2 linked regions of the Caenorhabditis elegans genome follow. The protein of the gene in region 2 interacts with the protein of the main gene of each other region in a pairwise test. Each region holds a gene or a part of one and is shown on either strand. Other genes may lie near its edges.

The links. The genes of interacting proteins can lie anywhere in the genome.
Region 1: the proteins of mesp-1 (region 2) and plk-1 interact in a two-hybrid assay, tested with the Caenorhabditis elegans proteins (2 studies listed by BioGRID, with this or other methods).

The regions. Positions count from the first base shown.
Region 1 is NC_003281.10:8,099,846-8,104,618, forward strand, and holds plk-1 (Serine/threonine-protein kinase plk-1), read left to right. Parts: upstream 1-1,502; coding exon 1,503-1,748; intron 1,749-1,795; coding exon 1,796-2,395; intron 2,396-2,638; coding exon 2,639-2,965; intron 2,966-3,011; coding exon 3,012-3,458; intron 3,459-3,507; coding exon 3,508-3,621; intron 3,622-3,669; coding exon 3,670-3,882; 3' UTR 3,883-4,224; downstream 4,225-4,773. Other genes in the region: K06H7.1 (uncharacterized protein), read left to right, coding at 1-14, 60-266, 313-453, 496-605, 649-793. UniProt on the Caenorhabditis elegans protein: Required for oocyte nuclear envelope breakdown before entry of oocyte into spermatheca. In meiotic cells, required for spindle dynamics and probably for spindle attachment to the chromosomes. Zygotic role in the development of the germline and nerve cord.
Region 2 is NC_003282.8:8,497,436-8,500,599, reverse strand, and holds mesp-1 (MEiotic SPindle), read right to left. Parts: upstream 1,291-3,164; 5' UTR 1,258-1,290; coding exon 760-1,257; intron 713-759; coding exon 629-712; 3' UTR 524-628; downstream 1-523. Other genes in the region: acdh-13 (Acyl-CoA dehydrogenase family member 9, mitochondrial), read left to right, coding at 1,777-1,880, 1,933-2,020, 2,067-2,579, 2,625-2,984, 3,027-3,143.

The sequences.
Region 1 (4,773 bases), on a different chromosome or scaffold from region 2:
TTTTTATAGACTTGGTAGTTAAAAAATTAATCTGAATTCCGCGTATTTTGATATTTCAGAAAGCAAGCAAATGTATTTGTAGTTCGAATGAGCTTTTGAACATTCCAAAAATCATCGTTAGAAGGCTTTTTCTAAAAATGGAATCTCTGGAAATGTTGGAGTGGTGGATTGAAAGAGTTGATCCGAACTCTCTAAATGAGCTGTGTATTGCTCCTCATGGAGAATATCCACTTGATATTCCGTCCAAGATATTTGATCTTCCACATGTAAGTATGTTTATTTTTGAATATTTTTGGTACAATACATTTTCAGTTCCAAAATTGCAAAACACTGAGTATTATGGAGCACTGTTCTTTCTCAACCGACCAATTTCTAGCATTGTGTATTGCAATTCCAAATTTTTCTTTTTATTCGGACAGAATTGATGAAAATATAGTTGCTCATGCGATAAAGGTATTGAAAATCATCATGGAATGAAGAATTGTTATTTTTCAGAAACGTCTCAGCTTAAATGATCAATTTGTTGTCCTAGAATGGTTTTTCACTAAACACGTGAATGTTGAAAAAGTCACAGGAGATTTGAAGTGTACGAATTATGATAGAAAGTGAGCAGAAAACTGATGTTAGGCAAACTAGAATTAATTTCAGAGAGCGCTTTGATGTCAAAACTGAGTGCTTCGAGCCAGTTGATGTATACAGTGTTCCAGATGAGAATAACAAGAAAACGTCCTTGCTGGTTTTGAAAGATTCAACTGACAATTTCAAACCGTATAACATTGTTGCGTTTTCATAATTTTATGTTTTGAGATGCCGTCTTGGAAATATAGTGTTTTTGAAGCTAAATATCCTATCTCATGTATTAAATAAAATTGTTATAGTATCTCTTTCCATCCATTTTAATCGTCAAAGAAAGGCGTGTAAACCACGAAAACTTACCACTAATCCAAAAAGAGAAGCTGCCTTCTCTCCAAATGACGGTAAGACGTGGAAGACACGTGGTAAAAATGTATTACGTACGCCATAAAATATACGTATTAATCCATTTAAAATTAATTTTTCTTTTATTAACATCTGGCATCGTTTAACACACGTGCAAATGTTCTGTTACAAGCCCAAAAAGGTTCGTTGCTAATTTTTAAAACATTAATGTACAAAATTATTGCAGAAAGTACATTGAATAATAAATTTTTCAATTTTTAAAACCGTTTTTTAAATCAATGTCTCCGTGATATTTATGTTTGACCAGAAAATGTTTGATCGATGACAGCGCGCTGTTTTGTTTAGCACCCTTTTTCATCGGCGCGTAAATCGACACACGGTTCGCTGCGAGACCTGCGCCCGCCAAGCATCAACATTCGAATTTGCCGTCCGCCATTTTCGTCCTAAAATGACTTTTACCGATTCTTTTTCAAGTTTCCAGCTCGCCTCTTGTCATTTTTAGAAATAAAAACGTTTATTCAATTATTAATACTGAATATTTTAATTTTTGTGTTGCATTTCAGATGAATCGACTTCCCAACATTGCAAAACCCCCACAAAAGTCCAACCAAAGAAAGGAGAAGGCTCCACCAGAGGTTCCCGCTCTCATCGCCGACAAGGATCGTGGGACCTATTATGAGAAAGGACGATTTTTGGGCAAGGGAGGATTCGCTCACTGTTATGAGCTTACGAATCGAGCAACACGCGAGGTTGTCGCTGGAAAAGTGGTTCCGAAGTCGATGCTCGTCAAGCAATACCAGAGAGATAAGGTAGACAATGAACGAATCTTAGTTCAGTGCATATTACGATTTTTCAGATGACACAAGAGGTGCAGATTCATCGAGAGCTTGGACACATCAATATCGTGAAGTTATTCAACTTCTTCGAGGACAATCTCAACGTGTATATCACTTTGGAGTTATGTGCAAGACGGTCGCTGATGGAGTTGCACAAAAGAAGAAAGGCGGTCACCGAACCTGAAGCTCGTTATTTCACTCATCAAATTGTGGATGGCGTGCTGTATTTGCATGATCTGAACATCATTCATCGTGATATGAAGCTTGGAAATCTTTTCCTCAATGATGATCTAGTTGTCAAAATTGGAGATTTCGGATTAGCAACAACGGTCAACGGTGATGAGAGAAAGAAAACGTTGTGTGGAACGCCAAACTACATAGCTCCGGAGGTTTTGAACAAAGCTGGACACTCATTTGAAGTTGACATTTGGGCAGTTGGATGCATTCTGTACATTCTTCTTTTCGGACAACCACCATTCGAGTCTAAATCGCTTGAAGAGACATACTCACGCATTCGCCACAACAACTACACCATTCCGTCGATCGCAACACAACCAGCAGCAAGCCTAATCCGCAAGATGCTTGATCCTGAGCCAACACGTCGTCCGACTGCCAAGCAGGTAATTTCAATAGTTTTGAACTGGAGTGAAAATCATTTTAGTATTATCGGAGATTCGAGTTTCATCATTAGAAAATTTGTACTTTTGAATTTTATCGTGAACTTTTATTGAGAGATAGTTCACGTTCAGTTTGATTGCCCTTCGTTCTAATTAGTAAAGAGATCGAAAACAATTTTTAAAAAATCAGTTCGAATATTTAAATAAGTTATGAAATCTCTTCAACTCGGAATGAAAACCCTACAGGTTCAACGCGATGGCTTCTTCAAGTCAGGATTCATGCCGACTAGACTTCCAGTCTCCTGCCTCACTATGGTGCCAAAGTTCGGAGGACACGAAACTTCGATGATGGAGGAAAATGTTGCTCCAAGAGGGGTTGATGCTCGTTCACAACGCCCATTGAACGGAAGAGCTGGATTGTCTGCCCTCCCACAACACATCGTGTCGAACAATGCCGATCGTGAGCGTGCTCAACAACAAGCTGCAGAGGCGACTTTCCGGGAGCCCGAGGATGCATACCTTTCACAACTTTTCCACCAAGTTGCTGTGCTCTTAGAGCAGCGTATTCCAGGGGTAAGAATAAACAAGAGGTTTTTTTTAAATTAAAAGTTTGTTACAGCTGGAAGAAGAAGAAGCTGCTCTTGATGGTTATCAATCACCAGAGTGCCTCCCGGTTTTCTGGATTTCGAAATGGGTTGACTATTCGGACAAGTATGGCATCGGATATCAACTATGTGACAATTCCGTCGGAGTTCTCTTCAATGACAATTCTCGTATCATGCTTGATCAAGCTGGAAACGAGTTGACCTATATTGAGAAGAGCAACAAAGAGCACTACTTCTCGATGCACTCAGGTGAAATGCCTGGATTGCTCAACAAGAAAGTCACATTGCTTAAGTATTTTCGATCCTACATGAATGACCATTTGGTGAAAGCTGGAGAAGGATCTGAACAAAGAGCTGGTGATGACTTGGCTCGTTTACCAACGCTTCGAGTTTGGTTCAGAACCAAATCAGCAATTGTTTTGCACCTTTCCAATGGAACTGTTCAGATAAATTTCTTCAATGTAAGCAAATTCATAATTTAATGGAAACACCCAACAATATAATTTTCAGGATCATGTCAAGATGATGATGTGCCCATTAATGCAAGCAGTTACATTCATCGATCAAAACAAGCGTATGCTCACCTACAAGCTGAACAATCTTCAGCGCAATGGATGTCCAGAGGTTTGAATCGCCATTTCAGTATCAACAAATATAACGTATAATTTACAGAAATTCCTTCACCGACTGAAGTATGCGAAGACAATGATCGAAAGGTTGATGAGCGATGCTAACGTTGTATCCCAGAATCCAGCTCGTCAACCGGATATGCCACGGTCAATGGCAGCTGCTCGTTCAGCTTCGGCAGGATCACGAGGACCAAATCAAGCTGCATCGCACCTTCCCCAGTCGGCAAGTGGATCCAATATTCACCCACGTCGATAGATCCGTATGTGCTCTTTGCCACTTCCATGAATTTGCTTACATCTCCTGATTAATTCCAAGAAGTATTATTCTATACATTTAACCCGTACTCTTCATTTATTGTTGCTGTTTTTCATCGACCCTTTTAGTCCCATGTTTCAGCATCCAACATGTCTTTATTCCCCGTCCTCGATCTCCCGTAGCTCATTTCATTGTAAATACTGATGAGACCCGCTGTAGCCCTTTTTCATTCGTTTGTATTCATGGGCGAGGCGATTTTTATTTTGCGTTTTTATTTCTTTTTGCTAATTGAATCATCTTTTTTTGGTATTAGTCCCACGAAATAAAACGTACCGATGATTATTAAACTGTATTCTTCATTTTTCCAAACTTTCTCGACAATTTCATTTTTGGTAGATAGCAGCACATTGGGAAAAATCAAGTTGAGCTGCTCATCTGCCTCAACTTTCCATTTCAGAATTTTCGAAAAAGCGTGTATAATATTTACTGATTCCGAGACAATTATTTGAACATGATTGTTACAAAGATCACGGTCGCAAAGTAACAAATGTTCTGTTTAATTACTTGCCACTCTGAACAGTTTCCGTCACTTATTTTATATCCAAACAGGTTCGATTCCAAATAGTCTCAAATTATGCCAATGGGATCTGCTTTACTGTAACAGTTGGACATAAACTGTTATATGAAATCAAAAATACAATAGTTTAAATTGTTTTTGCTCTCTGCTTGAATTTTGGATTTCTAGAGATCTAGAGCAGAGCTGAGCAGCCGGCCAAAAAAATCGGCGATCGCCGATGAAATTTTTTTTTCGGCGATCGCCGATCACAAATTGCCAAAAAAAAATCGGCGATCGCCAATTGCCGATTGCCGATCAGTGTGCGTCTAATTTTT
Region 2 (3,164 bases):
TTTTTTTTTTTCCGGAATCCAAAATCACATTTTCCAAAAATTCACTTTTAAAAATTCCGAGTCTATATAGGAGGCGAAAACCGAGTCTAAATAGAAGCAAAACGCACTTATATTTAGAAAAGAGTAGAACTATTTAGAAGAAGAAAGTATTTCTAATTAGAAGAAGTAGACATATTTAGAAGAAAAATGCGCTTATATTTAGAAAAGAGTAGACCTATTTAGTTAAAAAGCTCTGCTATTTAGATGAAAAAGCATTTCTAATTATGTCGTGTTGGGAGCTAGCGCCATTTCTAAATATATCTGCTTTTTTCTTCTAAATAGAAGCGAAAACGTTTATCTGAGAATGTTTCTGATGACAACAAGAAATGTGTCCACATTGTGCACGAAACAAACAGCGAATCCGGGTTACATGTCAAATTCCTGTTTGCGTATGAACACTGCATTCAAGGTTTTGAACCGAATACGCGATTTAAAATTCTTAAAATGTATCGGTGCCGTCGGTGCCGATGTGAAATCAATTAGCTGAGCAACCGGTTTTATTTACAGAAAAAAATGACCGGGTTAGTAGTTAATATTGAACAAAGAATGAAGAAATAAAATAAATTAACAGGAATCATCGCATTGGCGATCAGTCTTCGCGATTAACGCGGTTCAGCCACGACTTCGTTGGCCTCGCGAAGGATGGTGTCTTCGGCACTGTGCATTTTCGGATCTGAAAACATTTTATTAGAACACATTTATTGTTTCTTAAACACAAACCTTTGCCGAAGGATGCACTCTCCAGTGTACGTCTCTTCTTACAGGCTCCGTTGAAGCTGGGCGAGCTGACAGCGAGACTTGGCTGAGATGGCGGAGAGGCTCAGAAGATGGTCGCGGTGGTGGAGACACTGCAATTGATGATTCAGCGGGAAGAGTGAGCTCTCCATCGGAATCCAGCTGAATGAAGGTTTGCTCAATTGGAGGTGCCACGATCCGAGACAAGTCTTCGAAGCGAAATTCCTGTCGAGGAGCCGTAGGTGCAGGCGTTGAAGTGTAATCCGGCACAAACATTCTTCGGCTCTCCGGAAGGTGCCTGGCCGGTGTCGGTGTCCGTCCCATGAAGATATTTGCGCGAGTTGCCGGACGTGGGGTCTGATCCATGGATAGAATTGACCCAATCCTGTCTCTGAGCGAAGATCCGGCAAACTCGAACCGATTCCTCATCGATGTGTCCACTTCACGTCTGCTGGCGCTTGTATTCCCCTGAGGTGTTTTCATGTTCCTGGTTGGAGTTTTGGGAATCGCAAGCATCTGCAAGAAATATTCGATTTTGATAAATAAAAGATAGAGAGGAAATTAAGAGAGAACGATAAAAATTAAAATAATAAGAAAAAGCTCGTAGATGTGAAAAAATGAAATGAATATGAATTGTCAACAAGGAAAAATCATGTTAAAATAATTGGCGGCGAAATTCAGATCAGTGCGCATTAATATTAGATCAAAATTATAAAAATAAAACCTAGAGCGTCTAGAAATCGTGATACCGTACTCTTCACAAGTGAGAGAACATGTAAAAAGTAGAGACTCAGATGCGCGAGATTAAAGGCACGTTGATTTTTCCGGACGGGTCCACCACGAGACTGGGCGTGATTAAATGATACTTCAAAATTTGAAATTAGCGCGTTAATACTTCGTGGCCGTGGCCGAGAAAACTCGATTTTTACCCTAAACAATTTTCCCGGCCATATTATTTTTGAATTTTTCAGCGCTGTTTCTTTGCTTAAAACTCAAATTAAGATGCATCGGGCGTTGATCCGATTACAAAAACTGCATAAATGCAATGTGAGATGTCTCAGTGATGCAGCAAAATCAAAAGAAGTGGCTGGTATAAGTGAGAAAAGGTATTATTCAGTAATGTTTTTTCAGAAATAATGAAACTATTATTTTTTTCAGTAAATTTGCTATTCGAACTCTCGACAATACTTCGTCTATCGAGAAGAGGAGCTTGTCGAGAGGTTTCGCTATGAATAAGTTTGAAAAGGTTTGAATTTTTGCAAATATAAGTTTATGCGAACATATCATTCCAGGACTTCATGATCTACCCAGAATACACAGATTCAGATGATGTGCGTAATATTGAAGGGTTTGTGGATGTGTTGCGGAAATCACTTGAATTATCAGTTGACTCGAAATTAATAGAAAAAGAAGGGAAACTAGCTTCAGATACAATAGAAGCTCTTCGCTCGAATGCAATCTTTTCCTTGGCTATTGGAAAATATTTCGACGGCATCGGCATGTGTAATAAGGATTTGTCGAAAGTTTTCGAAGAACTCAGTGTAGATTGGAATGTATACACAACTTCACACATTTCTCTTCTTGTCGCAAACATTTTGACAATTTATGGATCTGATGAACAAAAGTCCAAGTATTTAGGAATTCTTGGGTCTGGAAAGCTTCGACCAGCGGTTGCAATTGTAAAAGATACGAATGGAGGAGTCTGTGAACAAACAGCTGGACCTGGTGGAAAATCAATGTTAAATGGTCAGAACATCCGAGTTATGGGTCATCACAATGCCAACTTTTACGTCGTTTTCGGAAATGTTAGTAGGAATTTCTGTTCTCTTTAAATTAACATTTATTTTCAGAACAACGGAGAGAAAACCTGCTTTCTACTCGATGAAGCTGAACTGGGAACCACCGACAAGATTCAATTTACACGTGACGAAACAATCGGACTGAAAGGAATTGACGTTGGGCGCATCGAGCTCACTGCATTGGTAACAGACAAAAATCTACTTGGAACACCCGGACACGGTTCCGAAATTGCATCGGAGCTGGTCGGTAGTGGTAGAATGCCATTCGCAGCCGCCACAATTGGAATGGCTCGAAGAGCACTTAGAGAACTATCGATTTGGTGTAATCGAACTCCGAGTAGGCAGAATGATCGCACAACTTTAGCGGACGATTCGAGATCACAAAGGATTGTGACTGAATTGGCACTGAAGGTACACTATTGCCACTATATTTTCAATAAATAATTATTTCAGGTATACGCCCTAGAGTCTTCGTTGTACTACTTGTCAGGATTGATCGACGAAGGACTATCAGTTGTCGTGGATATTGAGAACTCTTTGCTCTCTATTATGACTAGAGATGTTCTGCAGGTACATCTTATTTTTTAGATC